3 linked regions of the Callithrix jacchus genome follow. The protein of the gene in region 1 interacts with the protein of each later gene in a pairwise test. Links are inferred from orthologs where the notes say so. Each region holds a gene or a part of one and is shown in the gene's direction. Other genes may lie near its edges.

Region 1 (8,144 bases):
GTTGGGGAAAGCTGAGTAACTTTCCCTGATACTCTGCCTTCCTGTTCAGTAACTCTTACTTTTGCCTGAAGTAATAGCATTTTCTCTACTTCTCCATCTAGAGATTTTTGTGTGTGTGCCATCAAGGTTAGCAAACCTTATACTTAGCCTAACACTTAAAAAATGCACTCATCTTAAACCTAATCAATTCCAGAGTTTATTTTGGTTCTCCTCTGTTGCCCTTCCTAAAATATGAGTTCAAGACGACAGTATTTTTTTCTTTACATGCTTGGTTGTGACTTTTTACATTTTATTTAATTAAAGGAAAGAAATGTTGAAGCTCAAGTTGAAAAAAGTGTCACAGAGGCCGGCCTTCAGTCTCCTGGGTCCTGGCCCTTGTGGGCCACTTGTCCATATTCCACACTTGGTGACTGTGCTCCCTGCACTCCACTCAAGTTGAGAGTTCAAATAATCTTGAAGGAGAATCAGCTTCAGGATTGAATGACCCAGGAGAGTCCCCGAGGGGGTTTCTGTAAATAGAGACTACTGCGTGTGTCCAGATCTCCCTGCCATGGTAATTCCTTGGGACTCTGACTTGGCTGAGAACTTAATGCTGGGATTTGTTAGAACTCTGCCCTTTTATCTGAAGCTCAAGGCCAAGGAGAATTATAGGAGACTTAGGGTAGAGCTGACCCCTGTAGCAGGCTCAAGGCTGCATCCCTTTTAGATCCAACTTAACTGTAAGTGGCCAGAATACCAGAGATGTGGGGTCTGTGGTCAGCTGCACATGAGGTGTTTACCTTTACATTTTGGTCACCTGTAGTCTTTAAATTCTTGGTTCCTGAGGCGAAGCCCACAACTTGCCTTCTAGTCACTTGCCTGCCCACCAGTGGTGGTTGATGTGTTAGCTGGTAAATTTGGAATCAGTCACCAGTCTTTCCGTCCTGTCTTGGCTAAGTCTATTTAGGTAGAGTCAGCTTAGCCCTGAGACCCAGAGACCTGCTGTCCTTTTTCTCCCTGAGGGAGGAAATGAAACTGGGGAACACAATGTCCTTCCATAGCATGGGAAGAAGAAAATAAAATCTTTCGAACAGCTTTGACTTGTGTGTGGCGGATCAAACATTTTCCTGTGGGAGTGGTACTGGGTCTCCATTTTCAGCTAGGGGAACCTTTGAAGTGTTTGAGCTAGGTCTCTATAAGAGAATGTATGGGACAAACTGCTAATGGAGTCATTCTTCCACGACCTTTTCAGTGTCGGAACGGGAAGTGTTACTTTAATTCTTAACCATCTGCACTATCCATCAGGAGGTAGGTTTTTTTCCTTGAGACATGTCTCACTGTGTTACCCTGGCTGGAGGGCAAAGGTGCGATCTCTGTTCGCTGCAACCTCTGCCTCCTGGGTTCAAGCAATTCTAGCTGAATTACAGGTGCCTGCCACCATGCCTGGCTAGTTTTTGTATTTTTTTTTTTTAAGTAGAGACGGGGGTTTCACCATGCTGGCCAGGCTGGTCTGGAACACTCGACCTCAGGCAATCCTCCTGCCTACACCGCCCAAAGTGTTGGGATTGCAGGCATGAACCACCATGCCCGGCCAGTAGTGTCTTGTCCTGTGGCTCCCTAGATCTGCCTTTGGAAGATGTGGTTAATGGCTCAGGGATTCTTACTGCATTTGCATGAAAAGGCTAGACAATTTCCTTTTTTTTTTTTTTTAAGACAGGGTCTTGCTCTGTTGCCCAGGCTGAGTTCCAGTGTTACAATCACAGCTCACTGCAGCTTGGAACTCTGGGCTCAAGCAATCCTCCCACCTCAGCCTGAGTAGCTGGGACTACAGGCTGGAGCCACTGCTCTGGAACCAGCTTCTGTATATCTCGACACTCATGATTCCCCAAGGAGAAAGAAAAACCATACTTTTATTCCAGCATCCAGTATGCCTTGTGTATACCGGTTGTTTCCTTTCAGTAAATAATAGTGAAGAGTCCTCTGAGGCACCAGGAGGATGTGATGAAGACAGTGACAGAGGTCAGGGTAAGGAAACCTGAGTTCTATGACCGGTAGCAGCAACAGCAACCATTATTGGTTACGTGTTATCAGGTGCTGTGCTAAGTGCTTTACATGTATGATTTCACTTCATGGGGTAAGGAGACTCATCAATAGCCTCATTTTACAAATGAGGAAACCGAGGCTCAGAGAGGATAAGTCACTTAGCCAAAATGTCCCAGCCAGGATTCTTTTGCGTGTTCTCCCCAAAATGTCTTCCAACTCCTACTCCAAACTCCTTCCACTGGGAGCTGCGTGACTTTGAGCAAGAAGCTTCATCCCTTTGGGCCTCCATTAGAAAGGATTTCTTTGGGCGAGGTTGAATGAGCGCAGCAGATGGCCTGTGGTTACAGCAGTGCTTCCCCGGTTTTTTTGTATCACAGCGCTCATAGAAATACTTGTGTGGCTCAGTGAAATGGAGGCGGAAGGTTTCCACCTTCGCGGGGCCTGACTGGAGGGAGCTGGGGGACTATGGGGAGGTTTCTTGTATTCTTTAAACAGACTACCCCTTCCCAACGCACAACCCCCAGCAAGTGGCCGTGGGTTCCCAGGCGCCTCTCCTCCCAGGGCCATGAACGTGACTGCTGAAAAGCGGGTTAGGCTGGGGAGTTCAGAATCCGGAGTGAATCGAAACTACCCCAGAGAGACGGCAGCGAAGAAAAATCCTGTTCCTAGGGGAACAGAACGGAACCTGAGGCCACCAGAAGTTCCCCTCTGATGCAATTCCGTAGCAGCCTTGCACTTGAGCCGGATGAGAACTGTAAAAACCCAGGTTGGACGACAGGATGGCGCGTCTTCCCGGCTCCTTTCCAGAGTTTAGGAGGGGCCATGCAGACTCAGCCGGCCTTTGCGGGCAGGTAGGCGAGGACGGGGCGCCCTCTTAAGACCCCTTCAGCCTTCCGAGGACAGCACCATGTTGGCTATGGATGGGGTCTCTGGAAGACTCAGGCTTGGTGCAGGTAACCCCGCGGCTTCCGCAGGCCATAAATCAGCGCAGCGTGCACCGAAGAAGCGCGCAGGCTGGGAGCGGCGACATAGCCGCCAGCGCGGACCTCCATTGAGGGCGGCGGGACCGACAGCTGGGGCCGGGCCTCGAGGCCGCTGTGGGTCGCATGGCACTAAGGCCACCTGGGGGCAGAAGTCGGCGCGATCATGGCGGGCTAGCAGGCGGGAGGGGCTGAGACAGAGCAGACAACCCCGAACCCCGGCCCTTCCCGCGCAAGCCCTGGGCTCCCTCTCGCAGCAGCCACCCACCTAGGGCCCTGAGCCAATAAGAGCTCGAGGTATATATGACTCACCGCGCCTGGGCCAATCAGCTCGACGCGCGCTCTACACCAGCACCTCGCGCGATAACCTGGCGGCCTCGGCCTTCACAATGAAAACCCTCTGTGGGAAAACCACCTCTCCCCGCCCACTGCGCCGACACCGGAAGCGAGGCGTGTCTGAGAGATCACTCCGCGCTCCGGCGGCAAAGGTAAGAACGGACTCTTTAATCATAGAAACTAATAAAGTAGTGCGCCTCTCTCCTTTCATGAGGCCATAGAAACAAATTCCTTTTCCTGTCACAGCTGCGCCCGGACATAGGTGGTGGGGGCGTCAGAGGGAGGGAAGCGAGCAGACGGGAGGAGACGGTCACGTGGCTGCTGCGGAAGGATAAGTCTGTGCTGTGTTCCAGCGGAGGCGAACTTTATAAAGGGCCGACGGGCGGCGGCTGCGGCCATTTCTACTTCTCTCTCTCATAGATGTAGTTCTTCACGCACGTGCGCGCCTTCCCTCCTCCCCGCCCGCAGGGTCCAAGGCCACCATGGCGTATTAGGGGCAGCAGTGCCTGCGGCAGCGTTGGCCTTTGCAGCGGCGGCAGCAGCACCAGGCTCTGCAGCGGCACCCCAGCGGCTTAAGCCATGGCGTGAGTATCCGGGCGGGCTATCCAGCCGTGCTCCCTGGGTCGGCGAGGGTTTTGGGCTGGTGGGGCGCGGCATGGGGCCGGGACGGTGCCGCCAAGAGGGAAGCGATTTTACGAGCGCCAAGGACGCTGTAGTCTCTGCTTGGGTGTTTCCGAGACGCTCGCGTACCCGGGGCCGGGAAAGCGCAGCTAGGTGCCAGGACTGCTTCCCCGGGGGTCTCGCCACCCTCGTACCTCGAGACGTTTCCCTGAGGGTCTCAACTGTCCCACCCGCGAAACGTGGCAGAAGCCAAGATGGCGGCCGCAGGGCGGCGCCGCGGGCGTGAGTCACGGGCGGGCGGTGGGCGGGGCGTAGCCGCCCTGGCCGTATTTGGACGCGGAGACGGAGCGCTTTCCTGTTGGCCAGTGAGGGAATGGCCGGTCCTCCACGATCGTCCATTTTGTGGAACCTGAGCTGGAAGCGGGGGGAGGGGGGCTGGGGGGGGAATACATCTGCCCTGTCTCTAGATGGCCGGTTTAGCCGTCCCACCTCATAAGTGGAAAGATGAAATTCTTAGATCAGCTAACGTAATGGGACTTGGCTTCTGATTCTTATTCAGGCTTCTCACGGCATTCAGCAGCAGCGTTGCTGTAAGCGACAAAGACACCTTCGAATTAAGCACATTCCTCGATTCCAGCGAAGCACCGCAGCATGACCGAGATGAGTTTCCTGAGCAGCGAGGTGTTGGAGGGGGACTTGATGTCCCCCTTCGACCAGTCGGGTTTGGGGGCTGAGGAAAGCCTAGGTCTCTTAGATGACTACCTGGAGGTGGCCAAGCACTTCAAACCTCATGGGTTCTCCAGCGACAAGGCTAAGGCGGGCTCCTCCGAATGGCTGGCTGTGGATGGGTTGGTCAGTGCCCCCAACAACGGCAAGGGTGAGTAGGCTGCCACCAGCCACATCCAGGTGGGATCTGGGGTTAGGGGCTTGCTATCTTTGTGTCTGACTCACTGGGCCCATCACTCGTATCTTTTGCAGAGGATGCTTTCTCCGGGACAGATTGGATGTTGGAGAAAATGGATCTGAAAGAGTTTGACTTTGATTCCCTGTTGGCTACAGATGACCTGGAAACCATGACAGATGAGCTTTTGGCCACGTTAGATGACACATGTGACCTCTTTGCCCCGCTAGTCCAGGAGACTAATAAGGAGCCCCCCCAGGCGGTGAACCCAATTGGCCATCTCCCAGAAAGTTTAACAAAACCCGACCAGGTTGCCCCTTTCACCTTCTTGGAACCTCTTCCCCTATCCCCCGGGGTCCTCTCCACCACTCCAGATCATTCCTTTAGTTTAGAACTGGGCAGTGAAGTAGGTATCTCTGAAGGAGATACGAAGTCAGACTCCACTGCTTACATAGCCATGATCCCGCAGTGCATAAAGGAGGAAGACACCCCCTCAGATAATGATAGTGGCATCTGTATGAGCCCAGAGTCCTATTTGGGCTCCCCCCAGCATAGCCCCTCTGCCAGGGGCTCCCCAAATAGGAGCCTCACATCTCCAGGTGTCCTCTGTGACTCTGCCCGTCCCAAACCTTACGACCCTCCTGGAGAGAAAATGGTAGCAGCAAAAGTAAAGGGTGAGAAACTGGATAAGAAACTGAAAAAAATGGAGCAAAACAAGACAGCAGCCACTAGGTACCGCCAGAAGAAGAGGGCAGAGCAGGAGGCCCTCACTGGTGAGTGTAAGGAGCTGGAAAAGAAGAACGAAGCTCTAAAAGAGAGGGCAGATTCCTTGGCCAAGGAGATCCAATACCTGAAAGATTTGATAGAAGAGGTCCGCAAGGCAAGGGGGAAGAAAAGGGTCCCCTAGTTGAGGGTAGTCAGGAGCGCAAGGTGCTTGTACATAGGAGTCTCTCGCTGTAGCTGTGTGTGTGAATAAATTATTTTGTAGTGAATACTTCCATGTGTGTAATTCCTTTTGGCACAGTAACAGAGTGAAACCGCTACCATCCGCCTGCCCCATGCTGGTCTTAATGTGCCCTGTGCAATCTGGGGAGGAGGGCAGTCTAAGACTAGATTTGTACCCAGGGTGGGATTTGCTTATCCCTGCTAGGTGTAGACCATGGTGGCTGATGACTTTGATGGGGCTCTCTAGAGCTGGTTGTAGCAAGCTGGGTTTTGGCCAGAGCTGAGTGCTGGTCAGGTAGGGAGGCGGTTTGAAGGGAGGAACAGCCTGGGCCTTCACCTGTGTGTTCAAGGCCTTCGTGCCAACATCCTGTCACATAAAACCCTGGGCAAGGTTGCACACTCCTTGAGGTGAGCACGTAGGATTAGGTTTCACTTATAACCTAAACAGTTCTGCAGAAGCCTCTGAGAAACAGCTCCTTTTGGGACTTGATGTTGAAGCAGGACGCGGGCTGGAGACAGGCCTCTTTCTCCTTACCTGGGGGTGGAAATACGACATTCTGCACAGGTTCTGGTTAGAGCTGGGCACTAAGGCAACAGTGAAGGCTGTTGTGCCTGCCGCTACCTAAACTAGAAGGCCTGATGTCCTCGGGTTATGTTAGGATGGAGCAGCACTTAGAAGCCAGGCAGTATCTCACTGCAGTTTCAGACTTACCCGTGGGTGGGGCGCATTTGCCTTTTCAGGCAGGCAATGCCTTTTGGGTTGTGGATGAATGCTTGAATGCAAGGATAAGCCCAGCCTGGGCAGATCTGGCCTTTTGTGTCTGGGTATCAGCCAAACCAGTTTTCCTCATGTGGAAGGTGGTGTAGACCAGGTGTGTCCGGGGAGCGTCTGGGAGGAGAGTGAGGGTGAGTGCAGCCCAGCCACTGCTCTAACAGCACAGCATGCGTGTCCTTTAATCCAGTCCCTGCAGAAATCTAATGGCGCAGACACCACACTTGCTCGCTGCAACCCCTGCTTCCCAGGTTCAAGTGATTCTCATGCCTCAGCCCCCTGAGTAGCAGAGATTATAGATGCTTACCACCACGCCCAGCCAATTTTTGTATCTTTAGTGGGGATGGGGTTTTTGTCATGTTGGCCAGCCTGGTCTTGAACTCCTGACCTCAGGTGATCGCCTCCTAAAGTGCTGGGATTATAGGCGTGAGCCACAGCGCCCAGCTCACCCAGAAGGATTTTGAGCAAAGAGGTAGAGCTGGGATTTGAACCCAGGACTCGATCTCCAGTCTGGGCTCTTCATTTTGCCTCTTGAGCTGGAAACAAATGGCCTGTAATGACCAGCATGCTGGGGCCCACATGGCCAGCATAGACTGTCACCTGAGAGCCAGCTGTGGATGTGTTGCATGCCACTCGTAAAGAAGTTGCCCAAGGCACCAGTGGGAGTGGGCATCACACATGGGTCTTGGACCTCGTGCTCTTAGAGGTCTTTCCTGCCGAGATTCTAGAATTCTCCAAAGGCCATGGGCTTCCATCCACATCCAGGTTCTAAATAGGCGTAGGGTGTGATATCAGTCATCCAGTGCCAGTGGGGGTCGGCCCTCATTTGGCAGATGAGAAACAGGCACCAAGAAGGGCAGTGTGGGCCAGTGGTGTGAAGCCAGGATGCTGGGGCTGTGCCCTTCCCAGGCCCCTGCAGCTCAGGCCTCCCAGACACAGAAGGCACCAGCTCAGGCCACAATGGCTTTGCCCTCTTCCCTGACCTCACCTCCTCCCCTCACTGTACTCCAGCCTTTTCTCCATCTGTCTGTTAGGCTGGGTCCTGCCTCAGAGCCTTACACTTGCTGCTCTCCCTGCCTGAGAGTTTCCCTTGGCTGCCTCCCACCCTGTTCAGTCTGATGCTACTGCAGGAGCCTTCCAAGGTGACCCTGCTCATGTCCCAGACTATCCTTTGCCCTGTTGTATTTTTTTCATAACTTTTTCTCCATTGAGTTTATCTGTATACAGATCCACTTTCTCTTCTCCATTCGCAAACTACAATATAAACTCACTCTATGACAGCAGATATTTTGCTGTCTTGTTCATTCCCATATTTCCAGGACTACAGAAGTGCCTGGGAAATAGCAAAAATGACTGCAGCGAACATGTTCAAAGAGCTCTGGGGCTCTAGGTGCCTTCCAGTGATGAGCTCAGAGTCCTCCTGAGAGGCAGTGGAGGGTCTTATGACTGTCCCCCTCTTGCTGATGCAGCTGAGACCCAGACTTAGGCACCCTTGGGAAGCCTGGCCTGGGGGTAGACACTGGCCCAGCGGCAGCTGGTATAGGCAGTGATAGCAACCTGGACAGAC
Region 2 (7,790 bases), about 3.0 Mb from region 1:
TCGCGCCACTGCACTCCAGCCTGATGACAGAATAAGACTCTGTCTCAAAAAAAAAACGCAGAAGGAGAAACTGGGTTTCTGGGATACCTGGAGGGTGGGATATCAAGAGGGTATTTGTTGCCAGGCATGGTGGCTCACGCCTGTAATCACAGCACTTTGGGAGGCTGAGGCAGGCAGATCACTTGAGGTCAGGAGTTCAAGACCAGCCTGACCAACATGGAGAAACCCCATCTCTACTAAAAATACAAAATTAGCTGGGTGTGGTGGTGCATACCTGTAATCCCAACTACTCAGGAGGCTGAAGTAGGAGAATCGCTTGAACCTGGGAGGTGGAGGTTGCAGTCAGCCGAGATCATGCCACTGCCCTCCAGCCTGGGCAACAAGAGCAAAACTCCATCTTTAAAAAAAAAAAAAGGAGGGGGGCTGTTTGTTTTGCCTGGATTGCTGGGAGTAGCACTGTGCGAGGGCTAAAATTGCAAGTAACCATGGTTCCCAGCTTGGCTGGTGAAGTGGTCAGGCTGCTGTTGAGATGGAGAAGAGCAGGCTATTGGAGAGGCACAGCTCCTAGCTGGAGGCACCTGCCACACCTTGGAGGGCTCAGCAGGATGAGATCGAAACCATCCTGCCAACATGGTGAAACCCCATCTTTACTAAAAATAGAAAAATTAGGGCATCAGGCACAGTCTAAATGACTTTGAGTTGCAAGAGGTGTCCCTTTCTATAGCCAGTGTTAGGAAACTAGGCCATGGAGCAAAATCAAAGATATTTTATAGGGACTTACATGATGAGAAAAAAACATATTTTCACAACTTTTTGGTGACAAATTCAAAATATAAAAACAATAATAGGCTGGACACAGTGGCTCATGTCTGTAATCCCAGCACTTTTTGAGGCTGAGGCAGGAGGATCACTTCATTTCAAGGAGTTTAAGTCCAGCCTGGGCAACCTGGTGAGACCCATTACTTTTTTTTTTTTTTTTTTTTTTTTTTAAGACGGAGTTTCGCTCTTGTTACCCAGGCTGGAGTGCAATGGCGCGATCTCGGCTCACCGCACCCTCTGCCTCCTGGGTTCAGGCAATTCTCCTGCCTCAGCCTCCTGAGTAGCTGGGATTACAGGCACACGCCACCATGCCCAGCTAATTTTTTGTATTTTTAGTGGAGACGGGGTTTCACCATGTTGACCAGGATGGTCTCGATCTCTTGACCTCGTGATCCACCTGCCTCGGCCTCCCAAAGTGCTGGGATTACAGGCTTGAGCCACCACGCCCGGCCAAGACCCATTTCTACAAAAAGTTTTTAAAAATTAGACCCGGCACAGTGGCTCACACCTGTAATCCCAGCACTTTGGAAGGCCAAGTCAGGTGGCTCACTTGAGGTCAGGAGTTCAAGATTAGCTTGACCAATATGGTAAAACGCCATCTGTGCTAAAAATATAAAACATTCGCTGGGCATGGTGGCATGCATCTGTAATCCCAGCTACTCAGGAGGCTGAGGCAGAAGAATAGCTTGAACCCAGGAGGTGGAGGGTTGTAGTAAGTCGAGATCATGCCACTGCACTCCACCCTGGGTGACAGAGCAAGACTGTCTCAAAAATAAAAAAATTTTTTAATTGCCCTGGTGTGGTGACACAAACCTGTAATCCCAGCACTTTGGGAGGCTGAGGTGGGCGGATCACCTGAGGTCAGGAGTTTGAGACCAGCCTGGCCAACATGGTGAAACCTCGTCTCTACTAAAAATACAAAAATTAGCTGGGCATGGTGGCGGGTACCTGTAATTCCAGCTACCTGGGAGGCTGAGGCAGGAGAATTGCTTGAACATGGGAAGTGGAGGCTGCAGTAAGCCAAGATCACGCCACTGCACTCCAGCCTAGGTAACAGAGCGGGACTGTCTCAAAAAAAAAAAATTCACCAGGCAGGGTGGTAAGTGCTTGGTCTCAGCTACCTGGGAGGCTGAGATGGGAGGATCACTTGAGCCTAGGAGTTAGAGACTTCAGTTTTTGCGCTGCTGTACTCCCTATCTCAAACAACAACAAAAACAGTAATAGTTGAGTACAGTGTTTTGGTAATATAAGTGCACTCTTGAGAAGAATGAAACCCTTAAAATTCAAAATTCATCATCTGAGGTTCAGATGGTCATCTGTAAGGCCCTTATTTGCTCATGGTTATATAAAAACAGGTGAAATTTTGTTATGTGTATTTTACCACAATAAAAATAACTTGAGACTGGGTGCAGTGGCTCATGCCTGTAATCCCAACACTTTGAGAGTCCAAGTTGGGTGGATCACTTGAGATCAGGAGTTCAAGACCAGCCTGGCCACGATGGTGAAACCCTGTCTCTACTAAAAATACAGAAATTAGCCGGACATGGTGGTACGCACCTGTAATCCCAGCTATTTGGGAGGCTAAGGCAGGAGAATCACTTGAACGAGAGGCAGAGGTTGCAGTGAGCCAAGATCATGCCACTGCACTCCAGCCTGGGCAACAAAGCAAGACTCCATCTCAAAAAAGGAAAAAAAAAACTGGGAAATAATACAAAAACAAGAGGTGGGCCAGGAAAAAAAAAAAGAACTGGGAAATAATAAAAAACAGAGGTCGGCAGGTCATTCACTGTTTGCTGACCATGGTCTAAAGTACCCGTTTGGTTGTTTCATGTGCTTTTCATCTGCCTGGTCCTAGGAATCCTGGTTTCTCTGAGAGGGGGGGCCACCTAACTCAGTGCTACTTGATGCTGCAATGTCTCACTGTGTTGCCCAGGTCTCACACTCATGAGCTCAGGTAATTCTCCCACCTCAGTTTCCCAAAGGGCTGGGATTACAGGCATGAGACACCACACATACCTTAGTTGCCACACTTCTGAGGCAGGTGTTATCTAAGTCAGGGATATTCATAAGCTTACTGCACAACCAACTGTGCTCCTGGGAGAAGCTGTTGAAATCCTTACTTTGGTCAGAAGGAGTGTGGCACAGAGGAAGCATTTGATTTGTAGCACATAGGCATTATGTGAAAAGATTGGTAACACTGTCATAGGGGCTTTTCCTTTTTTAAAAGTTTTCTTTGTAAACTTTTATCCAAAGATTGAAAGAAGCCATAAGTGCAAGTAAAGAACAGGAGGCAAAGTACCAGGCCAGTCACCCAAACCTTAGAAAGCTGGATGATACAGGTGAGTGGAGATCTGTGTGCACACCCACTTTTGAATTCTTGGGGGAGACCTCTAGGTTTGGTGTTGGTCCTTGGGAGGCAGTGGCAACCTCTCTGGGGAGGTGGGCTGGGGCCCCAGCTGCTGGCATCACCCATGCTAGCCGAACGGCCTTAGGGACCCAGCATGCTCTCGGGGACCTGGGGGTGTGCGTTATGGTGGGGCACCTCCCTCCTTCACTCCCTCCATAGAGGGGAAAATAAGGAAGTGGGGGCCTGCATTTGATTGAAAATGAGCCTGCCCAGCCTTGGGAGGTAGCACATGCCTGTAATCCCAGCACTTTGGGAGGCCGAGGCAGATGGATCACCTGAGGTCAGGAGTTCACAACTAGCCTGACTAACATGATAAAATCCCATCTCTACTAAATACAAAAAAAATTAACTGGGCATGATGGCACATGCATGTAATCCAAGCTACCTGGGAGGCTGAGACAGGAGAATCACTTGTACCTGGGAGGCGGAGGTTGCAGTGAGCCAAGATTGCGCCATTGGACTCCAGCCTGGGCAACAAGAGTGAAACTCCATCTCAAAAAATAAAAAAGAAAATGAGCCTGCCCACCATCGGTTCCTGCCTTGTGTTGCTCTGAGTTGTTCCAGCTGTTCCAGCAGTAAAAAGCCGACTACAGAAAAACCCCTTTGGTAAATAGAATAATGGTCGCCCCAAAAGTTGTCCACGTCCTAATCCCCAATCTCATGAGTGTGTTAGATTATATGGCAAAGGGGGAATTACAGTTGCAGATGGAGTTATAACTGCTAATCAACAAGATGGGAAGATTATCCTGTTTTGTCCAGTTGGGTCCATTGTCATCACAAAGGTCATTTTTAAGTGAAAAGGGAAACAGAAGAGAGAGAGGCCGAGTCAGAGATCTGAAGATGCTGCTGGTCTTAAAGATGGAGACAGGGGCCACTTACCAAGGTACGAAGGTAAGTGAAACTGCAAAAGGCAAGGAATTAGATTCTTCCCAAGAGCCCCAGAAGGAGTGCAACCCTGAGGACACCCTGACTCAGCCCAGTGTGACCCATGTTGGACTTCCAACCTCCAGAACCGAAAGACAAGTTTGTGGTCATTTGTCACAACATCAGTGAGGGACTAATACAGCCTTCAGCCCAGGCAGGAGGAGCAGCAGCCACATGAACAAGATGTGCAAGACAGTGAGTGTTGATTGAATTATCCCACTTGTATCAAGTGATAAGCCCAGAAACATTCCTTATCTGAAAAGGAATTTAAGACTCCTGGGGCCTCCTCCAAAGGCCCCCCAAAAGCCAGGTACATTGAAATTGGTGTTGGAAACCAAAGGTTTACTTTGCTGCCTTCAAGAAAACAACACACCTTGAAAACTCTGGAACCTACCATGGTTGTGGTTGATGCAGCTGAGGAGAGATCAGATGGAGGAAGAGCTGGGAGCAGGAGAGACTGACATCATCAGCACAGTTCAGTCTGGAAATGCAAGTGGAGGAAGTGAGTGTAAATTGAAAGGCAAGGGCTGGGAAAACCCGCCTCATCATACCCTGGAGAAGTGCTGTAGGACACTTCACCCAAGACACAATTTTAAGGAATTAAAGAGAGTTTTCATTTGTGTGGTATATATTAACCTGAAAGACTGAAAAAAAAAATTGACACAGTTTGCAGAATGGTTTCAGTTGGTTGATGCTGGAGGAAATATGCAAAGTCTAGAAAGTGACATTTCCCCAAAAGAGATAACTGGGATGATAGGGCTTTTCTGTGTGCATTTAGAAACTAAAGTTCATTCAAGCTGAGAAAGATAATTTTAGTAAAGAAGAAAATGAAGTTCAAGGAAGATTTCTCGGGGCAAGTGTGGGTTAACATTTCTTTTTTGCTTGTTTCAAGTGAAAAGATAGCGTAGAAATTTAGAAAAAAACAAAATTACCCATACTTCCATTTCTATAACGTAACAATTAGTATTTTTAGACCTTGTCCACAGCCTATGTAGTTTTGTGTTATTGCAGTTCCACTGGTATATCATCACTTGTGTGACTCTCTTTCCTGAGCTTGTGCACCAGTGTCTGAGTAGGTGACCCTTAGGTTGAGGGTCTTTGATCTCCCAAGGACTAAGGGAAAGCAGTAACCCTCCCTTGCCCTGTGGAAGCGTCTCTCCTTCTGACCCATGAGCCTGCCCCGTGCTCCTCCGTCATCCGTCTGGATGGCCTCAGAACCAACCCCCTCGTTCCTTCCACCCATTTTTCAGATGAAATTGTTTTGGGTATATGAAACAGCATTTGAAGAAATGTCAAGTAACTGCTCTCATGGTGTTTGCTTCTAAACTTAGACCCTATCCCTAGAGGGGCTGGTTCTGCTGTGAATACTGATGCTTACCCGAAGAACCCACACCTTCGAGCCTATCACCAGAAGATCGACAGCAACCTAGGTAAGACTGAGCACCACACCAGCTTCTGTAAGCCACTGTCCTTCAGGCAGCTCTCACCAAGCACAGCCCCTGCATCAGGAGCCTATAGCTTCAGCTCCCTCACCACACATCACATCCCACACTAAGCCAGGTCCATTTTGCCACTTCACTGTCTCTGGAATCTGTCCACTTCTCACCATTTCCTACTTCCAGCCCAACTGAGCCGTCCTTACCTCTCTTTCATGATAGCACCCAGGGACCCAGGAGTCCCTGAGAGGCCATCGAGTGTAGCCTGGACATGACCGCTCACTCCATTTTTCCCATTGGCCACTCAGAGCCCTGTTTTCCTCTTCTGTGAAACGGGATGCCTCTGAGAACAATGGGACAATTACCTGAGCCAGAAAGTGCCTGGCATGGTAAAAGTTAGCACTAGTGTTGCAATTGGCACTTTGGTGACACAGCCTCCAGCATGATGTTTCAAAACAGAAGCGAGTGCAGGGGGCTGGGCGCGGTAGCTCATGCTTGTAATCCCAGCACTTTGGGAGGCCTAGGCGAGTGGATTGCCTGAGGTCAGGAGTTCAAGATCAGCCTGATCAACATGTGAAACCCCATCTCTACTAAAAAGATAGACATTAGCCGGATGTGGTGACAGGTGCCTGTAATCCCAGCTACTCGGGAGGCTGAGGCGGGAGAATCGCTAGAGCCTGGGAGGTGGAGGTTGCAGTGAGCTGAGATTGCACCATTGCACTCTGGCCTGGACAACAAGAGTGAAACTTGGTCTCAAAAAAAAAATTAAAAGGGAGTGAGGGGGTATATTCTTCCAGAACTCTCTCATGGAACCCACACACACTCACCATGCAGTCCAGGCTCTCTCTGCCTGCCCTAGTACCTTCTGCCCTCATCACCTGCAAGCTCATGTGAGATTTCTGATATGAGTTCTTTCTGCCTCGTGACCCTTATCTGCCTGGAGTGGCCTCCTCCGACTCTGCAGGCTGGCTCCTTCTCCTGTCAGTCTTGCATTAGTGTGGCGTCCTCTCCCCATCTCTTGGGGCCCTTGTGTTTCTAGGGGGCTGCCCTGGTCATTTGTGATTGTGTATCTGCTGGTTTGCCTGCTGTCTTCCCAACCAGACTGCAGATTCCAGGCAGCATGGGAGTGTTTCCATTTTGTCACTACTTTGTACCTGGGGCCCAGCAGGCAAGCACTTAGTGATTATTTTTTGTTTTGTTGTTGCTGGTGTTTTGTTTCGTTTTTTGAGATGGAGTTTTGCTCTTGTTGCCCAGGCTGGAGTGCAATGGCAGAATCTAGCTCACAGCAACCTCTACCTCCTGGGTTCAAGTGATTTTCCTGCCTCAGCCTCCCGAGTAGCTGGGATTACAGGCATATGCCACCACGCCCAGCTCATTTTGTATTTTTAGTAGAGACAGGGTTTCTCCGGGTTGGTCAGGCTGGTCTCAAAATCCCGACCTCAGTCCCGCCTCGGCCTCCCAAAGTGCTGGGACTGTAGGCATGAGCCATCGGACCTGGCCAGTGATTATTTATTGGAGAAGTCAGTAATTTAAGTAGGTACTGGCTTGTGGGCAGTTCCGTGTCTTTGTTCTAGGTAGTGTCTCAGACTTGCTGCCTCCTCTTACCGCTGCTCCATTAACAGAAATCTCCCCCATGGTTACCTGGGTCACCCTGTTAGTCTCCCAGCCCCTGTTTGGAGCTGGCAAAGTGAAGAGGAGAAATAATAAGATTCCCACCCCCACCCCCACCCCCCGCCCACTGCTGTAAAGATATCTAGTGGGAGGCAAAACTGAAACTCATGAAGATGCACATGGAGTGTCTACGCACAGGCTTGCTCCTGCTCACTCTCTGGGAAGCCCCAGACAGCCGCCGCCTCCTTCTGTTTCCTGGACTCTGTTCTCCAGAGCCAAAGACTTCTCCGAGGTAGAAGGTGTGTCTACCCAGATCTGACTACTCCAGAGAAACCCAGAGAGGCTTGAAAGCCCTTTGTCCTTCACCAGGAGAAAGGGAGTGGTTAGAGCAGGTGGTATGGTTGGTGCCTGCTGGCAGGAAGTGGGAGAAGGGACATTGATGAAGGATACTGAATTCCAGGAGACAGGACAAAAAGCTAAGTACTGCCCGCCACTAGGGGTCTAAGGGTGCACAATTGGCACTATGGACTTGCAGCTGGGCAGGTCCTGGCAGGACGAAGTCTAGAGTAGGAGGTAGGCCAGGGCAGAAGGGC
Region 3 (7,790 bases), on another chromosome or scaffold:
CGCAGTCTCTTCATCTTCACACAACCAATGAGGTGGTTACTGTTACTGTCAGTGTGCCCATTTTACAGATAGAGGACACTGAGACTCAGAAAGCCTGGTACTTGCCACATGACAGAGTCAGGAGGTATCAGAGCTGGGATTGGGCCCGGAAGGCTGAGTCCAGAGAGTCCTGTGCCTGTGTAGGATAAAGTGTTTCAGACACAATCAGGGCAGGCTGTCCTGGCAGGTAAGCATAAGGAAGATAAGGGGACCTGGATACACAAGGGAGAGTAGCGTGGGCCTGGGTCCCTTGGGAATGCACAGAGAGGCAGAAGGAGTTAAGCCTCCCCCTCTTGGGAGCAGCAGCAGAGTTTTGCTCTGTTGATGGAGATGCAGTGAGCAGGGGGTAGATCCAGACAGAGTCCAGCCCCTAGCTTCGTCAGGGCTCTTGTGTGCAGATCTCCAGTGCTCTAACCAGGTGCCCCAAGGAGCCTGGAACTCTGGGTCCCCTTCCTGCAGCATCACAGGTTTGTTTCCACTCCCCCTGCGGAGGTGAGTCTGTGGCGAGAGGAGTAACGCAAGCAGGATCAGGACAGAAGCGCCATGCGTTCACAGGGCCCCGATTCTCCAGAGACATTGGCAAAAATCCACTGGAACATACTCACCCCATGCCAGTGTGCAACACGGGCACTGAATGATCGTTTCCACACTTTCTTAGCTTTTCTGGTTGGTGTGTAGAAAGATCAATATCCTGTCTTTGTAAGTTATCACCTTATTCATTAATCAACACAACTTCATTGAGCACACATATTGGCCGTGTACCATGCTGTGGTTAAAAACAAAGTTCTGTTCCCATCAAGCTGACATTCTAGTGGGAGATACAGACGATAAACAAGTGAATAAGTAAAACATGTGTCAGGTGGTCGGGCGCAGTGGCTCACGCCTGTAATCCCAGCACTTTGGGAGGTAGACGCCGGTGGATCATGAGGTTGGGAGTTCAAGACCAGCCTGGCCAATATGGTGAAACCCTGTCTCTAATAAAAATACAAAAATTAGCTGGGCATGGTGGTGTGCACCTGTAGTCCCAGCTGCTTGGGAGGCTGAGTCAGGAGAATCACTTGAACTTGGGAGGTGGAGGTTACAATGAGCAGAGGTCACACCATTGCACTCCAGCCTGGGCAACAGAGCAAGACTCTGTCTCAAAAAAAAAAAAAAAGAAAGAAAAAAATGTGTCAGGTAATCATAAGCACTATGGAGAAAAATAAATCTGGGAACAGGGAGATCAGAGGACAAGGAAGGCAGGAGTGCAGGTGATTTTAGCAAGGGAGGTCCAGGAAGACCTCTCTGAGGGGTGATGTTTGAGCAGTGACTTGAACAAATGGAAGGAGTCAGCCTCGTGGTCTAGTGGAAGAGCATCCAGGCAGCAGGTTCAGCAAGTGCAAGTGCACGTGGGCAGGAATGTGCTCGCCCCAACTAAAAAAAATGTAATCTCTGTTTTGGGGTTATTTCCCCCATGTCACCCCAACTGGTTTTTTTTTTGTTTTTTTTTTGTCTTATTCTGTCACCCAGGCTGGAGTGCAGTGGCATGATCTTGACTCAATGAAATCTCCACCTCCCAGGTTCAAGTGATTTTCCTGCCTCAGCCTCCCGAGTTGCTGGGATTACAGGTGCACACCACTATGCTTGACTAATTTTTGTATTTTTAGTAGAGACAGGGTTTCACCATGTTGGTGAGGCTGGTCTTAAACTCCTGACCTCAAGTGATTCTCCCACCTAACCCTCCTGAAGTGTTGGGATACAGGTGAGCCACTGCACCCAGCCCAACTGGTTTTTAAAGTCATGTACTTCAACTTTTTAAATCATGGATTAAATATATATGTGTCTCATTTATTTTTCTTCATGGCATAGTCAACACAACATGCAAAGGATTTAAAGTCAGACAAAAAGAAGTGAGTATACTAGTTCTGCCACTGATCGGCTGTCTGGCTTCTAATAAGTCATTTCCTTTTCTGAACCCAGTCTTACCATTGGTAAAATGGGACACACATTTCAGGCTAGGGCGAGGTTTTGCTGTGATGCCCATAGACCCCTAATACATTTCCCATCAACCTCATCACCTTCATCCCATGTTCTTTTTCCCTTCCTCACCCCTTTGATTTTTGGTTGGGTTTTTAGAGCAGGCCAGGTTTTTTCCTGCCTCAGGGCCTTTGCACTGCCTATGTCCCTACTCGGAAAGCTTATTCCATGGGCATCTCTGGGTCATTCAGATCATTTCCCCAGAGTCCCTGTTGAACCATACTTTCTAAAATGGGTGCCCCCTTCCAAAATACTCTATTCCAGACCACACGCAGTGACTCATGCCTGCAATCCAGCACTTTGGGAGGCCAAACCGGGCAGATCACCTGAAGTTGGGAGTTCGAGACCAGCCTGGCCAACTTGGCAAAACCCTGTCTCTACTAAAAATACAAAAATTTGTCAGGCTTGGTGGCACATGCCTATAATCCCAGCTACTCAGGAAGCTGAGGCAGGAAAAATCACTTGAACCCGGGAGGCAGAGGTTGTAGTGAGCCAAGATTGTACCACTGAACTCCAGCCTGGGCAACAAGAGCAAAACTCTGTCTCAAACAGCAACAACAAAAAGAAAACAAAACGCTCTATTCCTGCATCTTTCTTGGTTCCTTTGCGATACTCGTCCACATTTGTCAATATTTAGTTTCGGGGCACTGGCTTCCCAGTGGGCATGGGGGAGCAGAGTCCATGACTGTCAGTGCGGTTGGACACACAGCTGGCCATGCAGGCCCAGGGCCAGCTTGCTGAATAAAGGTTGGCAGTCAAGCCTAGAGGACAGGAGCTGTGAGGGTGATGGGCATCAGGTGCCTTCTGCATCATCCGCTCTTCTGGAAGATGCTTTGAGGGTTATTTTTCCGTTTGAGTGATTTGTTATTTTTCAGTTATCTGATGTTTGAGGCCATATAGCATAGCAGTTAGGAGCACAAACAAAAGGCCGAGCATGGTGGCTCATTTCTGTAATCCCAGCCCTTTGGGAGGCTGAGGTGGGAGGATCACCTGAGGTCAGGAGCTTGAGACCAGCCTAGTCAATATGGTGAAACCCCATCTCTACTAAAAATATAAAAATGAGCTGGTTGTGGTGGCGCATGCCTATAATCCCAGCTACTCGGGAGGCTGAGACAGGAGGATCCCCTGAACCCAGGAGGCCAAGTTTGAAGTAAGCTGAGTTGTGCCACTGTACTCCAGCCTGAGTGACAGAGCCAGACTCTGTCTAAAAAAAAAAAAAAAGCACAGACAATGGTGTGCACAGGTTCAAATCCCAGCTGTGCTGCTTGCTGGCTGTGAGGCCTCTCAGCTTCCTTAACTATAAAACGAAGCGAGTCCTACTTATAAGACTGTGGTAAGGGCTGAATGACTTGGTAAGTGAAGCACTTAGTGCAATGGCTAGCACATGGTAGTGTCTAACAGGTCAGCTGTGACTGTTTGCAATGTTTGCAATGCCAGCCTCAGCTCCCGGGAGTCCCCAGCTGTGCTCACATCATGCTCTGCCCACAGGTGTACCCCATCCACGAGGCCCTGGCCGTGCTGGAGCCCTACGCGCGGCTGCCCCCACACAAGCATGTGGCTCAGCCCACTGAGGTCCTGGCTGGTACCCAGCTGCTCTATGCCTTTTTCACTCGGACCCACGGAGACATGCACAGCCTGGTGCGAAACCGCCGCCGCATCCCTGAGCCTGAGGCTGCTGCGCTCTTCCGCCAGATGGCCACCGCCGTGGCGCACTGTCACCAGCATGGTCTGGTCCTGCGTGATCTCAAGCTACGTCGCTTTGTCTTTACTGACTGTGAGAGGTGAGTGTGGTTGCAGAGATCCCAGCCACAGACAGACCCAGGGGGTGGGCCATGATGGAGAGAAACTGAGGCCCAGGAAACAAAGTAACTTAGGTAAGAAGTAGAGAGGCTGGAGTAACTAGCAGCCCCTGTCTGGTAACCAGAGAAGAGTTGACTCAGGCTGGGTGGGTGCCGTGGCTTATGGCTGTACTCCCAGCAGTTTCGGAGGCCGAGACGGGTAGATCACCTGAGGTCAGGAGTTCGAGACCACCCTGGCCGACATGGTGAAACCATGTCTCTACTAAAAATACAAAAATTAGCCAGGAGTGATAGCTGACAACTGTAATCCCAGCTACTCGGGAGGCTGAGGCAGAAGAATAGCTTGAACCTGGGAGGCAGAGGTTGCAGTGAGCCAAGATTGTGCCACTGTACTCCAGCCTGGGCAACAGAGTGAGATTCCATCTCAAAAAAGAAAAAGAGTTGATGAAGTCCTCTTGGGGGCTCCTTGGGATGCTGGGATGGGGCACTGAGATGGGAAAGTCACAGTAGCTGACAGTGAGGAAAGCACCGCCGCATTATCTACCGTGGTCTCCTTCCTTACAAACTCAAGGAAGGCATTATTATTATCCTCATATGATCAAGGAAATTGAGGCCCAGAGAGCACAAGTAACTTGCCCAAGATCTCACAGCGAAATAAATGGTAGACCTGGGATTTGAACCAGAGCCTGGGTCCTATTTCAGTCTGAGCTAGAGGGACAGGGGTCCTGGCTGGGCTTACCAACTGACTCTGGGTGACCTAGTGTCTCTGAGCCTCAGTTTCTCCATTAGTAGGGAAAAGGGCTGGATTGTTAGGGTGTTTTCAGAATTCCAAGACCACACTCAAAACAAGACAGGGTCTGAGGTTCCCCACACAGGAACTTTTTCTGTGAAACTGAGAATTAGCACTTTTTGGTTAAAATTTAATCTTCCTTCTCTAGGTTGGGAAGCTAAAATTTTTTTTTTAATTGAGACAGAGTCTCCCCCGTTGCCGAGGCTGGAATACAATGGCGCAATCATGGCTCACTGCAACCGCTGCTGCCCAGGTTCAAGTGATACTCCTGCCTCAGCCACCTGGGTACCTGGGACTACAGGCACGCACCACCATGCCTGGCTAATTTTTTTCTACTTTTAGTAGAAATGGGGTTTTGCCATGTTGGCCAGGCTGGTCTCAAACTCTTAACCTTAGGTGATTCACCTGCCTTAGCCTCCCAAAGTGCTGGGATTACAGGTGTGAGCCACCACACCTGGCCTAGATGCTAAGAAAAATTTTTAAAAGATAATTCTTCTGGGGGTGGGGAGGGCAGAGGGACTCACCTCCTGAGGGCATCCAGGATGTGTCAGGGAGTGCACTAAGCTGCCAGTTACACAGAATTTTTCTGTGGAGGAAGGAGTGTGACCCCAGCACACTTTTTAAAACTTTTTATCTTGAAATAATTTTAGACTTTTAGAAAAGCTACAAAAATAGTTCCAAGATTTTCTAAAAATCCTTCCCCCAGTTTCCTCCAATGTTAACACTTGCCATAGCCATGGTACAATTACTCAAACTAAGAAATGAACCTTGGGAGAGTACTATTAACTAAGCCACAAATTTGTTCCGGCTTCCCGAGTTTCCCACGAACACCCCTTGCTGTGCAGGATCCAGTGAGGATCCCGATTTAGTTATCAGTGGTTTCCTTGGCCTCGTCTAATCTGAGACAGTTCCTCAGTCTTTCCCCGTCTTTGATAACCCATGATTTTTTTTTTTTTTTTTTGAGATAGGATCTCACTCTGTCACCAAGGCTGGAGTGCAGTGGTGTGATCATAGCTTACTGCAGCCTTGAACTCCTGGGCTCAAGTGATCCTCCCACCTCACCCTCCTGAGTAGCTGGTTTACAGGTGTGTGCCACCATGCCTGGCTAATTGAGATGGGGTCTTGCTATACTGCCCAGGCTGGCCTCGAACTCCTGAGCTCAAGCAATCTGCCCCCCCTCAGCCTCCCAAAGTGCTGGTATTATAGGTGTGAGCCACTGCTCCCACCATAACCTTGAGACTTTTGAAGAGTACTGATCAGTTACTTTGTATGTCCCTCAATTTGGATTTGATTGACGTTTTCTTAAAGTTAGATTGCAGTTTTATATATATATATATATAATCTCTTTAGAGATGGGGTTTCACCATGTTGGTCAGGCTGGTCTTGAACTCCTGACCTCAGGTGATCCACCCACTTCTGCCTCCTAAAGTGCTGAGATTACAGGCGTGAGCCACCGCGCCCAGCCGTGGTTATATATTTTTGGCAAGAACAACACAGAATTGATAGGTCCCTCTCCACATCATATCATTGAGTTGATAGTCATTACTGTGTTGTAACCTTGATCACTTGGTTAGGGTAGGACCTGCCAGGTTTCTCTCCTCTAAGGTTTTTAATTTAGCCTTTGTAATGGATAAATACCTTGGGGTAGGTAAGCTAAGCATATAAATATCCTGTTTTTCCTCAACTTTCCCCTACTAATTTTAGCAGCCATCCATCTTGCCTGTAGCAGTTATTACTGTGGTGCTTGCCTAAGACTAATTTTCTTTTCTTTTAAGACAGTCTCGCCCTGTTGCCCAGGTTGCAGTGCAGTGGCATGATCCTGACGCCCTGCAACCTCTGCCTCCTGGGTTCTTGCGATTCTCCCGACAGCCTCTTGAGTAGCTGGGATAACAGGGACACACCACCACACTTGGCTAATTTTTGTATTTTTAATAGAGATGGGGTTTTGCCATGTTGGCCAGGCTGGTCTTGAACTCCGGACATCAAGTGCTCTGCCTGTATTGGCCCAAAGTGCTGAGATTATAGGTGTGGGCCTCCGCGCCCAGCCCCAAAGGCTGATTTTCTATTAATATTTCCTTTTACATTTTATAGTAAAAGAAGCATGCCTTTTTTAAAGAAGTAGAATTTATAATGACTTTTAAGCTAGTGCATAACTTCAAACATATTTTAAGCTCAGAGTAGATACAACTACCCCAGACCTTCTGGAAGAGAGAATGTGCTTCCTGCTCTTTTTAAGAAATCATCTGATGGCTCATACCTGTAATCCCAGTGCTTTGGGAGGCCTAAGCAGGAGGATTGCTTAAACACCACAGTTCGAGGCCAGCCTAGGCAACATAGTGAAACCCCATCTGCACAAAAATTTAGAAAAATTAGGCAGGTGTGGTGGTGCACACCTGTGATCCCAGCTACTTGGGAGGCTGAGCGCAGACGTTTGAGGTTGCAGTGAGCTAGGATTGCATCACTGCACTCCAGCCCAGGTGACAGAGTGAGACCCTGTCTCTAAAGAAGAAAAGTCACATGAGAGGCACTGGTAGAAGAGAGACCGTGAGTTAGATAGACCTGTGTTTAAATCCTGGGTTCTGCTTCTGACCGGCTTTTTGGCCCCGAGAAATGACTTCACTTGCCTGAGCCTTTGTATCTTCATCTGTAAAATGGGCCAATAATGCTGACACTCCTCGTCCCTCAATACTGTGATTCATAGGATTGGTCGGTATTTGTGAAATGCCAATGGACACCCAGGAAGTGGTGCCATAAAGAAGAAATGAATAGCAGTGGTAACAGAATGATTGCTATGAAAGTCATCTTAGAGTGCTCTGTTTAAACTAGAAATTGCAAATGGCAGGATACACTTTTTTTTTTTTTTTGAGATGGGTTCTCACTCTGTCCCCCAGGCTAGAGTGCAGTGGAGCTATCACAGCTCACTGCAACCTCTGCCTCCTGGGCTCAAATGATATCCTCCTGCCTCAGCCTCCCAAGTAGCTGGGACCACAGGCGTGAGTCACCACACCTGGCTAAGTTTTGTATTTTTTGTAGAGATGGTTTCACCATGTTGCCCAGGCTGGTCGTGAACTCCTGAACTCAAGTGATCCACCTGCCTCGGCCTCCCAAAGTGCTAGGATCATAGGTGTGAGTTACCGCGCCCAGCC

What was found.
Region 2: the proteins of ATF4 (region 1) and SNAP29 interact in a two-hybrid assay, tested with the Homo sapiens proteins (2 studies listed by BioGRID and IntAct). The link is inferred for Callithrix jacchus from reciprocal best matches to the Homo sapiens genes ATF4 and SNAP29.
Region 3: the proteins of ATF4 (region 1) and TRIB3 interact in binary tests that used the Homo sapiens proteins (3 or more experiments, as listed by UniProt). The link is inferred for Callithrix jacchus from reciprocal best matches to the Homo sapiens genes ATF4 and TRIB3.

The regions. Positions count from the first base shown.
Region 1 is NC_133502.1:190,269,050-190,277,193, forward strand, and holds ATF4 (cyclic AMP-dependent transcription factor ATF-4), read left to right. Parts: upstream 1-3,731; 5' UTR 3,732-3,922; intron 3,923-4,518; 5' UTR 4,519-4,610; coding exon 4,611-4,836; intron 4,837-4,937; coding exon 4,938-5,767; 3' UTR 5,768-5,852; downstream 5,853-8,144. UniProt on the Homo sapiens protein: Transcription factor that binds the cAMP response element (CRE) (consensus: 5'-GTGACGT[AC][AG]-3') and displays two biological functions, as regulator of metabolic and redox processes under normal cellular conditions, and as master transcription factor during integrated stress response (ISR).
Region 2 is NC_133502.1:193,241,552-193,249,341, reverse strand, and holds part of SNAP29 (synaptosomal-associated protein 29), read left to right. Parts: intron 1-3,072; coding exon 3,073-3,158; intron 3,159-5,481; coding exon 5,482-5,580; intron 5,581-7,790. UniProt on the Homo sapiens protein: SNAREs, soluble N-ethylmaleimide-sensitive factor-attachment protein receptors, are essential proteins for fusion of cellular membranes.
Region 3 is NC_133506.1:8,139,017-8,146,806, forward strand, and holds part of TRIB3 (tribbles homolog 3), read left to right. Parts: intron 1-3,543; coding exon 3,544-3,836; intron 3,837-7,790. UniProt on the Homo sapiens protein: Inactive protein kinase which acts as a regulator of the integrated stress response (ISR), a process for adaptation to various stress. Inhibits the transcriptional activity of DDIT3/CHOP and is involved in DDIT3/CHOP-dependent cell death during ER stress.